Canis lupus familiaris: one gene and its partners. The protein of the gene in region 3 purifies or fractionates together with the protein of the main gene of each other region. This does not show direct contact. Links are inferred from orthologs where the notes say so. Each region holds a gene or a part of one and is shown on either strand. Other genes may lie near its edges. The genes, in order: DAXX, MAP2K3, MAP3K5, ARRB1 and STUB1.

Region 1 (3,984 bases), on a different chromosome or scaffold from region 3:
GCTTGATGCAAATCTTCAATTTGTAAAAAACACATATCTGTGAAGCACAATAAAAGGAGGTATGCTTGCATGCATTTTTTTTTTTTTTTTAAGAGGGAGCAAGTCTATTATAAAAGGGAACCGGAAGAAAGAAAACCTTTACTTGCAGGCATTTACTCAGATCAATTTTGGGAAAGTCGAGAATCTGTAAATTAAATTCCTATGTCTCCTAAGTCTGCGTACCCTTTTGGGGAGTTTTCGTATTCCCTAATTTGAAGACTGTAGGCTTACATATGGTGTGGGATTCTTTAATGGCAGTGAGGGTTTGAGGTTCTGGTACTCTGTGGTCCTAGAAAGTGGCAAGATACTCACCACTTGTGGAATGTGACGCAGGGGAGGAGAATCTCCGTGTTAACCGGTGTGACTTCCCCATAAGCTCGTATTTGGACCCAACGTGGCCTCCACGAGTCCTTCCGGCCTCTTTAAAGTTGGGTGAGGTGCGGGTGTGGGCGAGGGGGCGTCAGTCAGTTTCTTGTCTCCCCGTTCTTTTCTCAGCTCTCCCAGAGGAAGAGGAAGAGACCAGTGGAGACTCAAGGTATTTTACAAGTCTCATTTCATCCAACAGCGGCAATTTGCACAGATTCTCCTCAAAGCCCCCGCCCCACATCGCGGTCCTATGGCCCTGGAGCTCCTGGACAAGGCACGGCCTCCAGGTCATCACTGCATGCACCTCGGGCACCCCACCAGAAAGGAACGGAGAACCACCTAGGTCTCACCTGCTGGGTGGGTCATTAGTTCCTTGGAGGCGCTTAAAACGAAGTCAATAACAATAGTAATAATAATAATAACAAATTTGTGTAGCGAATTGTGCTCGTTTGTATGCATGTGTTATGATTTCACTATTGGGAGGTGTGGGCACGGGGAAGTAGAAGTAGCTGCTGGACAGCGGCTGGGGAGCGCGCAGCCTGCAGAAAGGAAAGGGCAGGCGCAGTAGATGAAGCCGCGGAAAGGGTACCTGGCAGGTAGGAAAGCGGCGCCGGAAGGCTGGTCAATGGCCCAGCGGAAGGAAGAGGGTTTTTTTCCCTCTTAGGAGATTCTCGCTCTCCTATGCACCCCTGCACAGTCTTGGAGGGCCCAATTCCTTAGCTGTCCTGTTCCGTCCTCCCCTCCCCTACTTGGAAAGGTGGCTCAGTCCTTCCAGCACGCGACCCGCCGGCGGTTGGGCTGGATGCAGGAAGTTTCTGATTGGTGGAGTCGCAGAAGCACCGGGCGAAAAGAGCTCCGTCGGTGGCGCCCCCGAGTTCGGGCGTAGCCAGTACCGTACGGCAAGATGGCGGCCCCCAGGTACTTTGGGACGTCCTGCGGGGACAAGCCCGCCCTCTACTGGTCATAGGAAAGAGAGCGGCATACTCTGTGGGCGGCACTGGGCGGGGGGGCGGGCCTACCGCCACTTCCTGCCTCAGGGGGGCCGGGCGCCGTACGAAAATATGGCCGCGTCTAGGTGTCCGTAGGCGGAAACTCCGCGACTTCCGGTCCAGAGAAGGGCCTGCGGTGGGTGGGGGAAGGAAGGCGGAGGGAACCCTGCGAGGTTCTGAGATCAGCAGCGAGGGTCGCCTCGAGAGACCGTTTCTGAGGTGGGGGCCGGACCGTGCGGGGAGCGAAGGCAGGGGCGGGAATGTCGAGGGAGAGGTACTGGGGAGTCCCAGGCGCTGAGTCTGAGGTGCAAGCTGTGGTACCTTCCTTCCAATCCCTGAAGGGGAATGGGGCGGCCGGGGGCTGAACTGGGGGAGGGGGACTTGGCGGGAAGCTCATTCGGGGGAAGGGGTCGGATGCGGGGTTGGGATCTGAGAGGAATCCGGAGAGCTCAGTACTGGGCTCACAATCGGTTACAGGTCACAGAGAGAGAATGGGGGAATTCGGGTGGGGTGAGAGGGAGGGGACTTGAGGTGAGATCTCTCCAACCTAACGTCCCGGTTTGAGGAGACCCGTCAGAGGGTGGAATGTGAGAATAATCCCAGGAGGGGAAACGGGAGTGGATTGTTGGGAGAGAACCTCCTTCGCCTCTGAGAGTCTAGGAGTTGGGGGTGATCCTTCAGGATGGGATGAGGGTGTGGATTTGACGTGTTTGAGAGCGAAAGGGGGAAGGCTGGTGAGGTGGTGCTGACGGGGATGTGGTATCTGTGCGAGGGAATGTCGAGGAAATCCAGAGTGCACACGTGCAGGAGGTGGTCGAGAGATTGGAAAAGTCAACTTGGCAAGTATGAGAGATAGTGGGGAAACTGGATCTCGACAGAAGGGGTAGAGCTGGGGGTGGGGACTTAAGGTTTTCAGGTGGTTTCAGGTAGTGAAAGGTCAGAAAAGTGTCTGGTACTAGTGGTTGCTGAAGTTAGGCAGTGAGGACACTGTTGAGCAGGGCTGGGTGTTACTGAAACCCAAGAAGATTGGAAAATGTGTGAGATGAAGGGAGGGGCTATGCTGGAGGGGCTCTTTCTGAGGCCCCATCCCCTTCCAGCAGGAATTCCGAAATCCCCAACACTTCCTTCCTCCGGGGGATTTGATCCCCCATGGCCACCGCTAACAGCATCATCGTGCTGGATGATGATGACGAAGATGAAGCAGCTGCTCAGCCAGGGCCCTCCCACCCACCCCCCAATCCGGCCTCACCCCAGGCAGAAGCCCCTGGCTCCTCCCAGCCCCATGGGGCTGGAGGAAGCAGTAGTTCTGGCGGCAAGAAATGCTACAAGTTGGAGAATGAGAAGCTGTTTGAAGAGGTGAGCTTTAGGGGAGAAGATTCTTGTGCCCCAGGGAGGGGGATGGCTGACTGGCTCTGTAGTCCTTTCTTCCCCACTAATCCCGCCTTGCCTTCTTTCTCTCAACCCCTCCCCTTGTCTCTTCCCCCCTCCCTTCTTCTCCTGAAACCTCCAGTTCCTTGAACTCTGTAAGATGCAGACAGCAGACCACCCTGAGGTGGTCCCATTCCTCTATAACCGGCAGCAGCGTGCCCACTCTCTGTTTTTGGCTTCGGCGGAGTTCTGCAACATCCTCTCTCGGGTCCTATCCCGGGCCCAGAGCCGGCCAGCTAAGCTCTATGTCTACATTAATGAGCTCTGCACTGTTCTCAAGGCCCATTCAGCCAAGAAGAAGCTGAACCTGGCCCCTGCTGCCACCTCTAGTGAACCCTCTGGGAATAACCCTCCCACAGACCCCTCCTCGGACCCCACAAATGCCGAGACCACTGCCTCTGAGGCACCAAGGACCCGTGGTTCCCGGCGGCAGATCCAGCGCTTGGAGCAGCTGCTAGCGCTCTATGTGGCAGAGATCCGGCGGCTGCAGGAAAAAGAGTTGGATCTCTCAGAATTGGACGACCCAGACTCCACATACCTGCAGGAGGCAAGGTTGAAGCGTAAGCTGATCCGCCTCTTTGGGCGGCTTTGTGAGCTCAAAGACTGCTCTTCCCTGACGGGCCGTGTCATAGAGCAGCGCATTCCCTATCGTGGCACCCGCTACCCAGAGGTTAACAGGCGCATTGAGCGGCTCATCAACAAACCAGGGCCAGATACCTTCCCTGACTATGGAGATGTACTGCGGGCTGTGGAGAAGGCAGCTGCTCGGCACAGCCTTGGTCTTCCCCGACAGCAGCTCCAGCTCATGGCTCAGGATGCCTTCCGAGACGTGGGCATCAGGTTACAGGAGCGACGTCACCTTGATCTCATCTACAACTTTGGCTGTCACCTCACAGATGACTACAGGCCAGGTAGGGATTAGTGAGATGCCTACTGGTAACCCTTGTATGTCAGATGTTTGGTGGAGGGAGCATCTCTCTAGTCCCTTCTTCTAGGGTTTGGGCTGAGTACTCTGACTTTATATCTTCTCATGTAGGCATTGACCCTGCACTGTCAGATCCTGCCCTAGCCCGGCGCCTGCGAGAAAACCGGAGCTTGGCTATGAGCCGGCTGGATGAGGTCATCTCCAAATATGCAATGATGCAAGACAAGAGTGAGGAGG
Region 2 (4,032 bases), on a different chromosome or scaffold from region 3:
CCCCTTTTTACTAATGGGCAAGCAGAGGTCAGCTCCCCGCTCCAAGCATTTCTAGCAGGTGGTGGAATCTGCTTCCCTCACGTGAGGTCCCTGGCAGGCAGCACACTCATGCCTGCCCAGAGGCGAGGGGCTGACCCGTTGACCTCTGCCAGGCGCTTCCTGCCCTCGCTAGCCCATAGCTTTGCATCTGAGTCACCTGATCCCCAGGCCAGATTGCTCGGTGGCTCCTAAAATCCCCCTAGACTCCACAGGGGAGAAGGGAGGACTGGCCTGGGTGGCTATTACATGCTATGCAGTCTGTATGTCCAGAAGGAGGCCCGGAGGGCAGAGGAGAAGAGAACCAAAGGCCCACCTTACTCCCCCTGAGACTCCGTCTCCCGTGTAGAGGAGGGACCTTGAAGACCCAACCCCTAGCGCTACATGTACTGGCTTCCCGGTAGGTAGTCCCCCACTGTGACCCACCCCTTCCCCGGTGCCTGACCCCCGGCGGGCGCTCAGAGGAGGTTTGCAGAGGCAGGGAAGAGAGGTGCGGACCCCGGGCACTGTGCCTAAGCCCTTGACAACACTGGGTCCCCCAGGACTGCCTGCAAGGGCCGCCCGGTTCCCCCGCGCAGCGCCGGGAGGCCGGGCCCTTCTGGTCTCCTTCCCACAGAGGCAAAGACCGAGCTGGGCTCCAGGGGCTCCCTGGCTTGCCCAAGGTCACGGGCGCTGGAGAGTGGCCAGGTAGGGATCCGGACGCAGGGCTCGCCCCGGGGGCGCACTCTAACCCCCCGTCCCCCAGCCCCGCCACCCTGGGATACCAGGGGATTGTCCCAGGGGACGCCACACACCCAGCCGTGCCCGCGGAGCTCACCGGCCGGGCGCTGCGGGGCGGGGCGGGGCGGGGCGGGGAAGGCGGGGCGGGGCCTGGTGCCTGAGGGCGCGAGCCGGGCTCGGCCAATCCCGGGCAGTGGGCGGGGCTTGCGTCTTGACAGGCGGCGGGAGGGGCCGGCGCTGGCCCCGAGGGGGCCCGGGTTTCCCGGCTGGAGGGCGGGGCTCGACAGGCAGTGGGAGGAGCCGGGTGCGGGGCGGGAGGGGCGAGGCGGGCGCTTGACGGGCACGCCGGGCCGGCCTCTGATAGGCAGGGGACGGGCCCCGGAGACTGGCGGGCCAATCGGCGCGCGGGGGCGGGGCTGTCGTCGGCGCCGTCCGGCCGGGGCCCCCGCGGCGCTGCCCAGTCTGGCTCCGGCACCGCCCGTCGCGGACGCGCTCTCGCCGCCCCCGCCTGCGCACCGCCGCCGCGCCCGGGCCCCCTGCCCGCAGCCATGAGCGCTCTCCACCCGGGGGGAGCCCGCCGCCCTCTAGATTAGTTCCTGCCACCGCTCCTGGACCCGCCTGCACCATGGAGTCCCCCGCCTCCAGTCAGCCCGCTAGCATGCCCCAGACCAAAGGTAGGAATGCCCGGGGGGAGCGCGGCTCCCCGGTCGCGCCCGGACCACGAACCCCAGGCTGTCTGTGGGACCCTGTTGCAACCCCCGTCCGGGACCCGGGCAGCACTGCGGCTCGGAATCCTTCCCCATTCGGGTCTCGATCTCAGCCTGGACCTCACCTGGACCCCCCCCTCCCCCGCCCCGTTCGGGCCTGGGGACTGCACTCAGATCAGACCCGATCTCGTTCCGGTGACCCCGCTCCAGGTCAGAAACCTCACTCTGACCTCCTCATTTAGGCCTTAACTGCACCCAGAACAGGAATTCTCCCCGTCTGGGTCCTTCTGCTGGATCCAGGTGGGAATCACTCGGATCCTGCACCCAGGGCCCCCTTCCACTCCCCTGGTCCCAGGGCTGTATCCACGCTGGGATTTAAATGACTCCCCATCTGAGCCCCAGCAGTGCTGCTTTGCGGGGGGGAATCTCACTGTACACCCCCCGCTCCCCATGTGGGTGCCCTGGCTACACTCCAGCCAAGAACTCACTCCTCTTCCCCAACTCTCTCCATCCACATAGGCCCCATCCCTGGCCAGCTTGCAGCCCTGCAGCCTTGTCCCCCAGGAACCTCTCTTGGCCTTCCACCCCACGCTAACACAAGCCCCCTCTCCATCAGCTTCTCCTTGTCTTGACTTGCAAGCTTCTCTCTGCACTTGGGGAGCTCACCCCCTTTTGCTCCCCTGTATCTCCAGGGTTAATGGATACTGGACTTGTCCCTGCTGCCTCTGAGTTCTGGGTCAGCCGCTAGGCCAGGGTGCTGGCTGTGCAATGGGCTCACTTTAGTCTTCTCCAAGTAGCTGGCCTTCCTGGAAATTTTTGTGAGGTGGCGGCTGCAGCGTCAAAGCGGCAGGATTTGTCATGCGGGGCAGGGGGGGGAGGGGGGTGAAACTTGGAGGGTGAAAGGGGGATTTTGTGTGTGTGTGTGTGTGTGTGTGTGTGTGCGCGTGCATGGGGAAGAGGAAAGGATGTTTTTGGCACGTCAGAGCCTCAGCAGGCTAGGCTGTGTGAGATTTCCAAACCGGACATAGCTGTAATGAATGGGCTGCCCCTTGGGCCTCTAAACCTGCCTCTTCCTCACCCCAACAGCAGGAGTATCTCTGGGCCTCAGTTTCCTTATCTGTAAAATGGAAGTAATCACACATACCTTGTGTGGATTGCTGGGTATGATATGAGGTAGCAAATACTAAAGAGTTTCATGCAAGCATGGGCGAGGAGAAGAGTGCAGCATGATGCCTGGCACACAGTAGGTGCTGAGCCAGGGACAATAATTGCCCACACCTTGTTACCGTTCTCCTCAGCCATGTGGGGTCAAGGCCTTGGCTCTGTTTGCATTGCAGCTGCAGAGTGAGGTGGAGAAAGGTAACTGATGTCACTCAGTGGGCCTCTACTCAGGGCTTGATCCTACCTCTGTTTCTCTAGAGGGGCTCAGGCAGCAGGAGGGCTGAGGGGTCCCAGGGAGGGTGTGGGTCCATCTCTACCCCTGCTGCCTGTGGCTGCGGTGGCTGTTAGCCAGAGCCTGGCCGGCCTGGTGGGCAGGATAATTACGTCTTACGTAAGTGGGAGGCCGGATCCCTGACCATTGCCCAACCACTGTGAGTAACTCAGGAGGCACTCAAGGGGGGAGGTGGCCGGGGAGGGACTTGGCCTGCACGGACCTCGTGGAGCTTGGGAACTGGGAAATCATATGCTTTGCCATTTTGGAGAACTAGGACCCCAGACACTTCTTTTGTCTAGTGTGGGGTCTCTGCCTGGCTTGGTCAGTGCCATGGGACTTCCAGCAGGTCCCTCAACTTCTCTGGGCCACAGTGTTTTCATGGGCAGAAGGACACAGTTGGAAGCAGTGTTTGTCTTCCGATGCTCAGATGCTCGTTCAGCTGCTTCCAGGCAGGGAATACCTCATCACAATAAAAGTTGTAGAGTTGTGAAGGGAGAGGGGTCAAAGGTGTGAAGGGAAAAGGAACTTGGGGGAGGCACTGCTTGATTCCTGTGTGCTGTGTGACTTGAATCCTGGTGTTGCCCTCTCTGAGCCTCTCTGCAGAGATTAACAAGATGAATTTCCAGTTTGTGGGTCCAGGTAATACCTGATAGTGTGTGGGTTAGATGGAGGGACAGGTACTTCTGCAAAGCTCAGGGACCTTATCAGCCTCTTTAGGGTCTGTGGAAAGATATGGTGGGGAGCCATGACACCCCCTCACCAAAAAATCTGAGAGCTGCCACTTATCAAGCTTTTTTCCATGTTCCATGTGCTCTCCCATTTATTCCTCGAAGCCCCATTTACAGATGAGGAAATTGAGGCTTGGAGATGGTCAGTGCCTTGCCTGAGCTCATACAGCTGTGACAGGTGCAGCTATGTCTCTATCCAGGACTGTGTATCTCCAAAGGTCTCCCCCGTGCTCCTTTATGTCCCATTCCTGTCCTTGATGCTCCAGCAGAGCTAATGGGACGTCCCCCATTCCCCCACCCCGCCATCCCAGCTGGTGGGACCCTATGTTATGCCTTTGTCTAGTCTGCATCTCCTCCAGGCCTGGCCTTACCTGGAGTGGGGACTGAGCTAGGGGTGATGCCTCTT
Region 3 (4,203 bases):
GATGCTTTGCGGAGTGGGGTATAGATCCCTTATTCTGTCTCCTGAAAGCATAGGACACCGCGTGCGCGGGAGGGGGTACCTTTTAAGAACCTAAATGAGAGTGCTTCAGTCGTTCAGCAGTTAGGCCTAGTCAATTACTCATTAACGATAACATTGCCAGTGCAATTTTTTTTTTAATGGAAAGTAGCGGAGGCCGACCTGATAAGTTGTGCCAGCCACGGTCGGGAATCGATCGCCCGTTGCCGTCCAATATAGGCCCCCGCGGCGGGGCGCTAGAGGAAATCCTCCGGCCTTGCGCAACGCAGGCCCCTCGGCGCAGCCCAGCGCTGGAGCGCCGCGCGCCGAACCAGACCGCGCGCAGGGCGAGGCCGCCAGGCGCCGGACGGGGGCGCCCTGGCTGCGGGGACCGGGGCGAGAGCCTCCCGATAGCTCCGGAGCCCCGAGTGTTCTCCGGAGAGACTTTTTTTTTCTTTTTTTTCTTTTTCGTGCGCCGTGCTGCCTTCGCGCGCGCTCCAGGCTTTGGCCGACTCCGGGTCTTCTTAGGTGGGGGTCCGGTGGGTGACGGCGGAGCACTCCCGCCCCGCGCCGAGCCCGGGGCCTGGCCGAGGTCCGGGAGCCGCGGCGCGGCCGGTTTCGTCCCGGCTCCAGCTTCCCAGCAGCGCCCTCCCCCGGGGCGGGCCCTGACTCTCGGGGCCGCGACGAGTGGGCGGCAGAAGCCGGTGGCCCCCTGGGCGAGCGGCTGCGGGGAGCGGCGAGACCCAGCGGCGAGGCTGGCGCTGGGACGCAGCGGCCGCGGCGCGCTCGGGCGAGAAACGAGGCCAGGGGAGGAGGAGGAACTAGAGCCCATGAAGGGGAGCTGCCGCCGAGGAGGGAGGCGGGTCCTTTCGGCTGCGGCGGCTGCTGTTCCGGGACGCAGCCCGGGGAGCCTGCTCGCCCGAGAGGTGCTGGCCAGGTAGCTCCCCACCCAGCGGGCGCCCTCCCCGGCCCCTCCCAGCGCCCGGCACGCAAGGAGCGGGAGCCGCGCTCCGGGGGGCCAGGGCGCTCCGCACGGCGAGCGCGGCGCCCTTGAGCTGCACGGCGGCGCGGGCTCGCGAGCCGACTTGTCTGCCGGCAGCAGAAGGAAGCGCGGTCCCTTCCCGCTCACCCTGGCGTCCCCACCGCTCGTACTCTACACCCTGCCTCGGGCGAGCGGCGCGGCCACGGAGGCGCCGAGGAGGGGCGAGCCGCCGCCGGGTAGCGGCGTGCCCCCGGGAGAGAGGGCGCCGGAGAGGAGGCGGCGGCGCGGTGCGGAGGGCGCGACGCGCGATGGCAGCTGCTTAGCCCGGCGCGCGCGGAGCAGCCCGGAGCTGTGGCTGGCCAGACGGTGCGGCTGGGCTGGGGGGGGACGCCGCCGCCGCCGCCGCCGCAGCCCGGCCGGGAGAGATGAGCGCCGAGGCGGGCGAGGGCATCACTTTCTCCGTGCCACCCTTCGCCGAGGGCGGCAGCTGCCGGAGGGGAGGAGCGGCGGCGCCGGCCGAGGGCCCGGAGAGCCAACTACCACCGCCGCCGCCGGGCAGCTTCTGGAACGTGGAGAGTGCCGCCGCCCCGGGCGCCGGCTGTCCGGCTGCCACCTCTGCGAGCAGCGCCACCCGGTGCCGGGGCAGCTCTGGTGGCGGAGGCGGCCGACGGACCACGGTGGCTTATGTGATCAACGAAGCGAGCCAGGGGCAGCTGGTGGTGGCCGAGAGCGAGGCCCTGCAGAGCCTGCGGGAGGCGTGCGAGACGGTGGGCGCCACCCTGGAGACCCTGCATTTTGGCAAACTGGACTTCGGGGAAACCACGGTGCTGGACCGCTTTTACAACGCAGGTGCGTGTGCAGCCCCTTCCGCGTCCTCCACGGTCAGGGGCCACGTTCTCCCTGGCCGCCCGCAGCGGGGCAAGGTTTTCCTAGGCGGCAGGCGTGCTTCCTCCTTACCCACTTCTTGCCCCACCTTAGGGGCAGCGAGCGGCGCTGCGTGACTGCTCCGGGCGCTCGCTGCCCCCGGGGAAGAGTGGGTGCGGGTGCAAGATCCTGTGTACTTGTGCTAGACCGACTGGGTCACCCGCCGGCCCGCGCTGGAGCCGGTCCGGAGGCCCCTCCTCAAGAACTTTTCACTTCTAAAGTAGTGCGAGATAGTGGCCCCATCAGCCTTTGTCCATTTGGGGTCTTGGTTTCTCTTTTGCTAGGTTTGGCCCATTTCTCCCTTCTATATATACACCTGTGACTATTTTAGATGACGCTTTCATTTTTTCTCTGTGTGGTGTTGGGAGAACAGGAACCACGCAGCCCGCTGCTCTCAGAGTCTATCTATACGCATTTGCATGTCGTGTCGTGATCTTCCCAAGTCCTTTCACTCGAACATATTTAGTAGCTTGGATGTTCTAGTCTTAACCGATTTGAACTTCTAAGGAATTACTTCCAAAAGCAGTAACCTTGTCACTTGAACTAAACTTTCGTGGTGTCTTTGTTAGGATTTTGGTGGGAGAATATTATTACCCCATATACCACAATGAGCTGGAAAGTACATAATTTAACATTGTTTAAAATATTTACTATTTTAATAACTAAAAATTAGTTTGTTTAAAGGGAGTGCCACCAGCCCCGGTGGCGCAGCGGTTTAGCGCCGCCTGCAGCCCGGGGCGTGATCCTGGAGACCCTGGATCGAGTCCCACGTCAGGCTCTCTGCGTGGAACCTGCTTCTCCCTCTGCCTGTGTCTCTGCCTCTCCCTGTCTCTGTGTCTCTGAATAAATAAATAAAATCTTAAAAGAATAAATAAAATGTAAAATTAAAAAAATAGAGTGCCAATGTAATCCATAAAAAAGTTATCTTTTCAAGTATCACATATTTCAGAAACTGTCATTGCAGTTCTAGTGATTGATGCAATTAGCTATTTGCTTGCTAAAGTTGGGAATAATATTAACATGCTATTGAAGTTAACCTTTAGTACCCTGTACAACCAAATATGAGAACATACATGTATTTATTTTTTCTAAGTGTGGGCGGAAAATTTAACAGTGGTTTCAAACAATAAGATTCTTGCATTTGTGATCACGTAAAAGGTTTTATATTCCAAACTTGCTTTCAGTTCTGATTCTCTTCAGTCTCTTCAAAACACCTGAAGTAGGCTTATGTCAGCTTTGGAATTCAGCCAAAACTGAATATTTTTAAGAACCAGAAGAACTTCATGTTAAAGAAGTCAGACTAAATAAACCAGGGCTTTCTGGTGCTGGTATTTTTTTTACAGTCTTGGTCTTCAGAACTGAACCTGAGTATGATATATTATAGCTCAGTTTTTTGTGTGGCTTGCTATAAAAATTGCATAAATGTAACTTTTCTAAAAATTATAGCACTCTTATTTTTGGATTATAGTTTGGAAGAAACTTCAAAGAACTGAAAGATATGTGAGGAAAACACCCAAGCAAATACTGAGCCTATTTTTATTGCTCTGATAGATTCTGTATTTTTTATAGGACTCTAAAAAAATAAAAAATCTTAAACTCTAGGCTAATTTGGAAGATAGTTTCCTAACATGGCACAGTTACTGTTTGTTCTCCAAATAACTGTTTGTGGGAAAGAGACAAAGGAAGACTACAAGGGGACCGACATTTGAACTGTATCTTTAATCCCCCAAACAAGCCCATTAAGGAAGTACTTCTTATTCTTCTCAGATGAGGAAACCAAGGACTTTATAACTGGCCTAGACTTACAGGTAGTAACTGATCAATGCAGGGTTCCATTTCAGGTGGCTGACTCTAAAAGGTCATCTTTGCTGCTGCCTCCATTTAGCTGGGCTGATTTACTCTATCTTGGAATCATGTGATAGAGAGCTGGCGGGGACCTGGTGAGCCATTGAGGTGCAGCGTGAATCATGGGGAGGACACTTTGGGAAGACTCGTTTCTGAGCCATTCTGAGCCATCTCTCTCCCATCCATTGCTTCATTCAACCTGAGCAGGCCCCAGTTTAACCCCTACTTATGCTCATGGTAATGAACTCTGAGCCCTGTCATTGAGTCTGAAGATGTGACCAAATGAAGATGGTATGTTTTGTCCAAATCCTTTGTTTTTCTCAACTGACGGCTGCCAACTTGGATGGTAGTAGAACTTTTCTTCTGATTTCAGAGGGAGCGCTTGCTCCTCCTCCACCAGGGAAACAGTTTTCTGGGAAGGGCCAGATGGTAAATAT
Region 4 (3,512 bases), on a different chromosome or scaffold from region 3:
CGCCAGAAGACAGGGCAGGGCCTGCCTTGAGGAGGAACAGGCACGAGAGCAGGGCTGGGCAGTCTATCTCAGAAGTCAGGTCCAGCTGTTTCCAGCTGCCAGTCTGGACTGTCTGCCCAGGGCTGTGCCTCTCTAGAGAACACTACCTCTTCTGACACGTGGGCTGACCCATCCCACACCCCACTGCCGCCCCCACTACCACCTGCTGCTGATGGCTTCCCAGGAGAAGTAGGAAGTAGGGGTTCAGGGTGGCTGGAAAAAACTCTTGCTCACTCTTTAAAATGATCCAAATTTTGTGTTTCTTTCCAAAATAAAATAAAAACATGCAGTCTCATGGGGCAAGACTTGAAGCAGGGTGATGGAGGAGGCAGGTTCAGCATTGTAAAGGGAGAAATCCTGAGGCCTGAGGCCTGAGCCCTAAGCCCCAGACAGTTGAGCCACTTTCTCCAGGAACCCCTCCAGGACTTGCCAGCCTTCCAGAGGGCCCTTCTTGGAGTTTCTGGGGCTGGAATATGCGGCCCCTCCTCACACACTTCCAGGTATTGTTACTTATCTCTTCTCTGACTTTGCTGGTCTTGTCTCTCTCCCTCTGCCAGTAGGCAGCCCACACCCAGCGGAAGCTGTGCCCTTCTCACCGCTTGTGGATCTTTTCCTCCAGGTTCTCGGCACAGAAGGCTTTGACCTCGTAGTCCACACCACAGGCCTGAGGAGAAGGGGCTGCTGACCACAGGGTCCCGACAGCACAGCCATCCCACCCTCTTATTTTACAAACCAGGACCCTGGAGGGGAATAGCAAACTTCACAGGCCAACCGCCCCTCAGCCTGATTCAGGACCCTGTGATCGGCCTCAGCCCCAGTGCTGTGCTGCACCCCAACCCCACCTGGCCTTCCCACAGAGCTCCCCTAGCTCCCCCAACACTGGGTGTCCCAAACTGCCCTAACTGGGCTCCACCCTGCAGACACCTGCCTGGTCTGGGCAGCTGTCCTCATTAAGGCAGCCACTCGGCAATAACAATGGGGGTGCTCAGCAGTCCTAGGAGGGGAGCACAGACTATGTGCAGACCCAACAGTGCTCTGGTGGCTCACTCCACCCTCTAAACTGCAGGAGGAGGCATAGCCTCTCATCTCCATTTTGCAGGTGAAGACAAGGGGGCTCAGAGATCTGGGGCCTGTGACACTAGTAGTGTCACTTCTCTTGGAGCCTCCATTTCTCCACTTGTGAGACCACAGTGAATGGACCCCCATGCAAGGTTGTGAGGCCAAGAGGTAGTCCAGAGAACATTTTGGTTCTGCTGCAGCCAACAGTAAGCCCAGGAGAGACTGCATGTAATGGAATGCGGGGGTGAGGATGACACCCTATCTGCCTGCTGCCCTGTATGAAAAGAGCCGGCTTATCTGAGGCAGTGTTGAAGTGGCTTCCACACAGGGAGGCTTCCACACAGAGTTCCGATGCCTCTCAGAAAGCCAGGGCCCTGGGGATACAAATGTCCTTTACCCGGAGAGAGGCTTCCAGAGACGTGACCCACCTTCCCCGTGTCTTCAGGCCCTGGCTGCAATGTCACAGAGCACGGGAGGTTTGGAGGGATCTGTTAAGAGGACAGACAGGTCTCCTGTCACATTGACCATTGAGCTCCTCATGTTGCCCACCCACCACCCCCACACACATTTATCAGACCAGGGGGCCCTAGCAACAGGCCATGTCTCCCCCATCAGACCATGCCAAGGATGCCCCACACTGGGCCAGAAGCCCTCCAGTAAAGCCAAGGATTTCAGTGCTTTTCTTTATCTAAAGGATTTTGCCTAGGGGCATCTGGGTGGCTCAGTGGTTGACTGTCTGCCTTCGGCTAAGGTTGGGATTCTGGGGTCTGGGGATCGAGTCCCGCATTGGGCTCCCTGCATGGAGCCTGCTTCTCCCTCTGCTGTGTCTCTGCCTCTGTGTGTCTGTCATGAATAAATAAAATCTTAAAAAAAAAATTAAAATAAAGTGTTCTGCCTAGATTGTAGTAGGCAGAACAAGCCCCCCCACCCCCTCAAAGGTGCCCACCTTCTAATCCCCAGAACCTTCAACTGCTACCTTACTTGGCAAAGGGGATTTTACAGGTGTGATTAAGTTAAAACTCTTGAGATGGGGAGAGTAGCCCGAGTTATCCAGGTGTGCCCGATGTAATCACAATGGACCTTAGCAGGGAAAGCAGGAAACAGAAGAGTCGGTGTCAAAGTGGTGGGCTGCAAGAAAGACTGACCAGCCATTGCTGGCTTTGAAGACAGAGGGGTAGGCTTCAAGCTAGGGAACACAAGCAGTTTCTAGAAGCTGGAAAAGGCAAGGCCTAGAGCCTCCAGAAAGAATACAGCCCTGCTGACACTTTGATTTTAGCCCAGTGCAACCTGTTTTTTTGTTTGTTTGTTTGTTTGTTTGTTTGTTTGTTTTGACTTGTAACCTCCAAAACTGTAAGGTCAGAAACTTGTGTTTTAATGGTCACATTTAATTCCCACCAGGTTGGCAGCAGCTTGTTTGTTACAGCAGCCACAGGAAACCAATACATCTGCCATGGACAGGATGACTGTAATGTCTCTCCTCTGGTTTCCCAGAAAGCCAGGGGATTTCACTGAATCACAGAATCAGAGTCTGAGAAACAGGAAGTTTTAAAATCCAGAATCTGGGAGTCTTTCCATTTGGAAAAGTGGCAGAGCAGGGAAATCACTACATGCCATCCCTCATTAATGAGCTGCGCTGGAGCTCAGCTGGAGCTGGGCCGAAGCTGGGCATGCGGGCAGCTGGTCTGAGGGAGGAGACAGTCCTGTAGTAATTCAGAGGTGAGAAAGGGCTCCTTCTTTCTCTGCAGCCTCTGCCCACCCGGCTCTCTCCCGCCACGAGCTGGACTCGGGAGGGTCCAAGGAGTAGCTCAGAGGTAAGGTGACACCCCTGGCAGTGGCCAGAGAAGAGACACTTACCAGGAAGTATAAGTGACAGTGCCCCAGGTCCCAATGTACACTGAGAAATTGAGTGACATGGAGCTGCTGCCCCAGCTGTCCCCATGTGCTTGCCCACAGGGCTTCCTACTGGTGGTGCAGTTGGCAGTCCCTAACCTCAAAGGTGAAAGGATAGGCATGCTCGCCCAGCTTCTTGATGAGGCGCTCCTGCAGCCGTGTCAGGGGCTTCTTGTCCTCAGGGGCTGGCGGGAAGGACTGCACGTTGGCCACAAACAGATCCTTGCGAAACGTCAGGCCCAGGACATCCAGGTCCTCCCGGCCATAGCGGAAGGCGCAGGTCAGTGTCACGTAGACTGTGGGAGCAGGGGGCATGGAGGATGAGCCCAAGAGGGCAGCAAACAAGCCCCCAAGAGCACCAGCTGAGCCCTGGGATTGGCCCAACTGGAGCTCAAAGGTCTGTCCCAAAGCTCCTGTGTGGGAAGGCTGTGCAGCCCTCGGGATGGGGGTACTGGGTACCCAGGAGAACCACTCAGACCTGGCCCCTAGGGGGAGGTGAGGGCTGACTGCTGGATCAGTTCTGT
Region 5 (4,057 bases), on a different chromosome or scaffold from region 3:
CCAGGCCAAGCCTTACATCAGCCCTGGCCACCCCCTCCCAGGCCTGGGGACATAGGACTGCCTGGCCAGGCAGTGGAGGTCCCCAAGTGTGGCCCTAGGGAGACCCTGCCCCTGCCTCTCCCCCACAACTTGCGGTCTGAGCCTTTTTGGAGAATGAATAAATATTTTACACAGCAGGAGGTGGCTGCAGTGGGCTCTGGGGGCTGGCCCCAGGGGCCCGCCCGGCCCTCGCACGGCAGCCCAAGCTCTCCCGGTGCTCCCTGCACCCAAACCAGGCGTGCGCGTGTGGCGGGTGTGCGAGGAGCTGGGGTCCTCACAGGCAGCGGAGACTGCAGCCCAGCCGGTCGCCCGCCCTCCGAGAACCCTGTGGCCCGGGCCCAGCAGGGTTCAGCCAGCCTGGCTTCTCTGCGCTTCTGGGCCGGCGCGGTGTCCTTGCGGGTGGCCAGGCTGGGGCGGGTCCCACGCGGGGAGGGGTCCCGGGCCTGAGGTCCCGCCCGGGCGGGGACAGAGGGGGGCGGGGGCCCGGGCCCAGGCCATGCGGCGCTCGGGCCGGCTCTGCCTGCCGCATGCACCCCGCCTCCCCAGGGCCGCGGGCGGCGGGCGCGCGGCGGCCTCGGAGCTCCTGCAGCCGGGGCTCGAGCCTCGCCAGCGTCTGGGCAGGCGGCTCCCGCGCACCCCCGGGGTCACGGCCACGGGCCCCCCGGCAGGCGACGACACTCACCGGCCGGGCCGAGGTGGGCTGGGCGGGGTGGGTGGGGGAACCTCACCCGGAGCCCCGCCCCCCGCTTCCACGCCGGCGGCCACGTGCTCCTCCGCTCCGCCCCCGGTGGCCGCGGGGAGCCCTCTGGGGCCTGGGGAGGGCGGCGACGGAGCCTCGGGCAGCGGGGTTCGGCCGTCCTGCCACCGCTCCAGAGCTTCCAGCCGTCCCTGGCGGCCGCGGCACCTCCCCGTGCGGCGCCAGGACCGCAGCCCCGCGGCCCTCAAGGCCCCACGGCCGCGCAGCCAGCCGGCGGCCGCCTAGTCCGCGCGGGGCGGGGCCTCGGCGGGGCGGGGCCTAGGCGGGGCGGGGCCTCGGCGGGGCGGGGCCGCGCTTGTCGCTGTCCCGGACGTCCGACGTCGCGGGTCGCGTTCCCTCGAGCGCATGCGCCCAGTCGGTCCCGCCCCCCCTTGCCTCCGCGGCCCGTCGGACGCAGGCGCGCCCCCGCCCGTGCCGCTGGCCCCGCCCCGCGCGGCCGGAAGTTCCGGTGGCGGATCGCTGGACCGGGCCCGAGCGGATCGCGGGCTCGGGCTGCGGGCTCGGGCTGCGGGCGCAGGGCGGGCCAGACGCGGAGCCTGGGAGCGAAGCCCGGGCTGTGCCGCGCGGCGCTATGAAGGGCAAGGAGGAGAAGGAGGGCGGCGCGCGGCTGGGCGCCGGCGGCGGAAGCCCCGAAAAGAGCCCGAGCGCGCAGGAGCTCAAGGAGCAGGGCAACCGGCTCTTCGTGGGCCGCAAGTACCCGGAGGCGGCGGCCTGCTACGGCCGCGCCATCGTGAGTGCGCCCGCGCCGGGGGAGGGGGCCGGCGTCCGGGCGGGGGAGTGGGCGGGGCCCGGCTCGCGGCCCCGCGTCCTCCCCGGAGCCCCTGCCCCGCCGCTCCCGCCGGACCCTCGGGGCGGTCTTGGTTCGCCCGCGGGGGCGTTTGGGCCCCGAGAACTCGGTGCTGATCATGTTCCAGTCGAGCCAAGGCCGCGCGGTTCTCGAGCCAGTGCTGGTTGCTGGAGGGGCGGGTGGGAGCTTGAGGGGTGCTCGAGGCCCCAGGCCGGGACCAGGGTTCCTGTCCCTTGAGAAGCCCAGGCCCGAAGCTGGGGCTCTCCTCAGGTCCGGGAACCTCACCTTTACAAAACCTCCTGGGAGCCCCGAGAGGGTGGGCTAGCGCAGGCCTGAGGACCGGGAGTTCACTCTACAGCCCTAGCTGAGCAGAGGCTTCCAAGCTGAGAAATTTCTAGTGTCTGGATTTTAGCTACGGGCTCCCAGACCAGGACAGGGCCTAGGACAGGGCCCACGGAGCTTTTTCCCTCATGCTGGCTGGCCTGGCCTTGGTCCCCAGACCCGGAATCCTCTGGTGGCCGTGTACTACACCAACCGGGCGTTGTGCTATCTGAAGATGCAGCAGCATGAGCAGGCCCTGGCTGACTGCCGGCGGGCTCTGGAACTGGACGGGCAGTCTGTGAAGGCACACTTCTTCCTGGGGCAGTGCCAGCTAGAGATGGAGAGCTATGATGAGGCCATCGCCAACCTGCAGCGAGGTGGGCCTACAGGTTGTCAGGGGACGGCGGGGGCGCCTGGGACCAGGTGGATGGACTGGCCAGAAGGTGACCTGAAGCCCCTGTTCCCCCAGCCTACAACCTTGCCAAGGAGCAGCGGCTCAACTTCGGGGATGATATCCCTAGTGCTCTGCGCATCGCCAAGAAGAAGCGTTGGAACAGCATCGAGGAGCGGCGCATCCACCAGGAGAATGAGCTGCACTCCTACCTCACTCGGCTTATTGTGGCCGAGCGGGAGAGGTGGGCTGTGGTAGCGGCAGGCTCCAGGGCCCCACCCACCCCCAAGGCAGCACTCTGGGGTTAACTGAGTCAAGAACACAAGTGTTTATTGAAGGCCAGCACTGGCGAGCAGTTGGAGGGAAGAGAGACCTGAACAAGCCTGAGGTTGGGGTGGAGTGTGATCTCTTCTGGCCAGACCCATTCCTGACTAGCTCCTGGTCGACCCCCAGGGAGCTAGAAGAATGCCAGCGGAACCACGAGGGTGATGAGGATGATGGCCACGTCCGGGCCCAGCAGGCCTGCATCGAGGCCAAGCACGTGAGGGTGCCCCAGCCCACGTGTGGATGTGTGCGTGTTTGCGTGCCTGTGACTGGAGGGTGCCCGGGGGAGGGGGAAGGGGCATTTGGCCCACGCGTAGCTGCTTGGTTCTCCGCAGGACAAGTACTTAGCAGACATGGATGAGCTTTTCTCCCAGGTGGACGAGAAGAGAAAGGTAAGCTGTCTGTCCTCTGGGTAGCAGGAATCGGAGCCGGGTCCCCATCCTGGTGCCTGACCTGACTCCATGTGCCACAGAAGCGAGACATCCCGGACTACCTGTGTGGCAAGATCAGCTTCGAGCTTATGCGGGAGCCGTGCATCACGCCTAGTGGCATCACCTACGACCGCAAGGACATTGAGGAACACCTGCAGGTGAGAGCCAACAAGAGTGGGGAGCAGGGCCCGTAACCACTGAGCACTTTCTGACCTGCTGTCACTGCACACTGCAGCGTGTGGGCCACTTTGACCCTGTCACCCGGAGCCCCCTGACCCAGGAACAGCTCATCCCCAACCTGGCCATGAAAGAGGTCATTGATGCATTCATCTCCGAGAACGGCTGGGTGGAGGACTACTGAGGCCAGGCGAGTGCCAGAGCTGCCTGCCTTGCCTAGTACCCTGGCCCAGGTGGGCTTTGGGGCAGTAGCTCCCAGTTCCTGTACATAGTTTGTGTCCCTAGATCCCTGCCCTGGTGTCCCTTATCCCACCCTCATCAGTTCTGCTGCTGGACCATGAGCCCCACCTCCACCCCCTTCTGGGCCAGAAACAGCAGGTGAGGGTGGGCTGCTGCCACCACTGTCCTGTAATAAAACCTGTGAGCACTATAGGGGTGTGTGCTGGTGTGTGCTGGGCTCACCAGCCGCCCACTCTACCTAGCCGAGGAAAGTAGAGATAAAAACACTGGTGTCCAGGTTGAGCGTAGCATGCCACCACCGGTCAGGGAAATACAGCACCTGGTGGAGGGTGGGGCACAAGGATTAGCTGGTGGCGTGTGATCCAGCCTGACCCCTTCCTGCCACCTACTGACCTCACCAGCCTGCACGGTGCACTCCAGGGGCCTCTCAGATGGTGCCAGGGTTGGGTACACGTCCTGAAGCCAGGCCAGTGTGGTTTTGTTGGGGTGGAACTCAGGTGTCTTCTCAGGGGGATACAGGAACCAGCGCTGAGGGTGAGATCAGCCCGTCACTCCATGTTGGCAGGCAGTAAGCCCCAAGCCGCAGCCCC

Evidence for each region.
Region 1: the proteins of MAP3K5 (region 3) and DAXX purify together in Homo sapiens (affinity purification with western blotting; 7 studies listed by BioGRID and IntAct, with this or other methods). This does not show direct contact. The link is inferred for Canis lupus familiaris from reciprocal best matches to the Homo sapiens genes MAP3K5 and DAXX.
Region 2: the proteins of MAP3K5 (region 3) and MAP2K3 purify together in Homo sapiens (co-immunoprecipitation; 4 studies listed by BioGRID and IntAct, with this or other methods). This does not show direct contact. The link is inferred for Canis lupus familiaris from reciprocal best matches to the Homo sapiens genes MAP3K5 and MAP2K3.
Region 4: the proteins of MAP3K5 (region 3) and ARRB1 purify together in Homo sapiens (affinity purification with western blotting; 3 studies listed by BioGRID and IntAct, with this or other methods). This does not show direct contact. The link is inferred for Canis lupus familiaris from reciprocal best matches to the Homo sapiens genes MAP3K5 and ARRB1.
Region 5: the proteins of MAP3K5 (region 3) and STUB1 purify together in Homo sapiens (affinity purification with western blotting; 3 studies listed by BioGRID). This does not show direct contact. The link is inferred for Canis lupus familiaris from reciprocal best matches to the Homo sapiens genes MAP3K5 and STUB1.

What each region holds. Positions count from the first base shown.
Region 1 is NC_049233.1:2,912,733-2,916,716, reverse strand, and holds the start of DAXX (death domain-associated protein 6), read left to right. Parts: upstream 1-1,184; 5' UTR 1,185-1,323; intron 1,324-1,467; exon of another isoform or gene 1,468-1,613; intron 1,614-1,619; exon of another isoform or gene 1,620-1,699; intron 1,700-2,491; 5' UTR 2,492-2,543; coding exon 2,544-2,750; intron 2,751-2,904; coding exon 2,905-3,733; intron 3,734-3,858; coding exon 3,859-3,984. UniProt on the Homo sapiens protein: Transcription corepressor known to repress transcriptional potential of several sumoylated transcription factors. Down-regulates basal and activated transcription.
Region 2 is NC_049226.1:42,945,233-42,949,264, forward strand, and holds the start of MAP2K3 (dual specificity mitogen-activated protein kinase kinase 3), read left to right. Parts: upstream 1-1,226; 5' UTR 1,227-1,381; coding exon 1,382-1,430; intron 1,431-4,032. UniProt on the Homo sapiens protein: Dual specificity kinase. Is activated by cytokines and environmental stress in vivo. Catalyzes the concomitant phosphorylation of a threonine and a tyrosine residue in the MAP kinase p38.
Region 3 is NC_049222.1:29,533,573-29,537,775, reverse strand, and holds the start of MAP3K5 (mitogen-activated protein kinase kinase kinase 5), read left to right. Parts: upstream 1-1,403; 5' UTR 1,404-1,422; coding exon 1,423-1,846; intron 1,847-4,203. UniProt on the Homo sapiens protein: Serine/threonine kinase which acts as an essential component of the MAP kinase signal transduction pathway. Plays an important role in the cascades of cellular responses evoked by changes in the environment.
Region 4 is NC_049242.1:23,396,170-23,399,681, reverse strand, and holds part of ARRB1 (beta-arrestin-1), read right to left. Parts: intron 3,285-3,512; coding exon 3,088-3,284; intron 1,587-3,087; coding exon 1,527-1,586; intron 704-1,526; coding exon 636-703; intron 1-635. UniProt on the Homo sapiens protein: Functions in regulating agonist-mediated G-protein coupled receptor (GPCR) signaling by mediating both receptor desensitization and resensitization processes.
Region 5 is NC_049227.1:40,363,660-40,367,716, reverse strand, and holds STUB1 (E3 ubiquitin-protein ligase CHIP), read left to right. Parts: upstream 1-1,254; 5' UTR 1,255-1,367; coding exon 1,368-1,526; intron 1,527-2,082; coding exon 2,083-2,281; intron 2,282-2,373; coding exon 2,374-2,539; intron 2,540-2,599; exon of another isoform or gene 2,600-2,748; coding exon 2,749-2,836; exon of another isoform or gene 2,837-2,954; coding exon 2,955-3,011; exon of another isoform or gene 3,012-3,091; coding exon 3,092-3,208; intron 3,209-3,285; coding exon 3,286-3,411; 3' UTR 3,412-3,659; downstream 3,660-4,057. Other genes in the region: JMJD8 (jmjC domain-containing protein 8), read right to left, coding at 3,706-3,786, 3,861-3,995. UniProt on the Homo sapiens protein: E3 ubiquitin-protein ligase which targets misfolded chaperone substrates towards proteasomal degradation.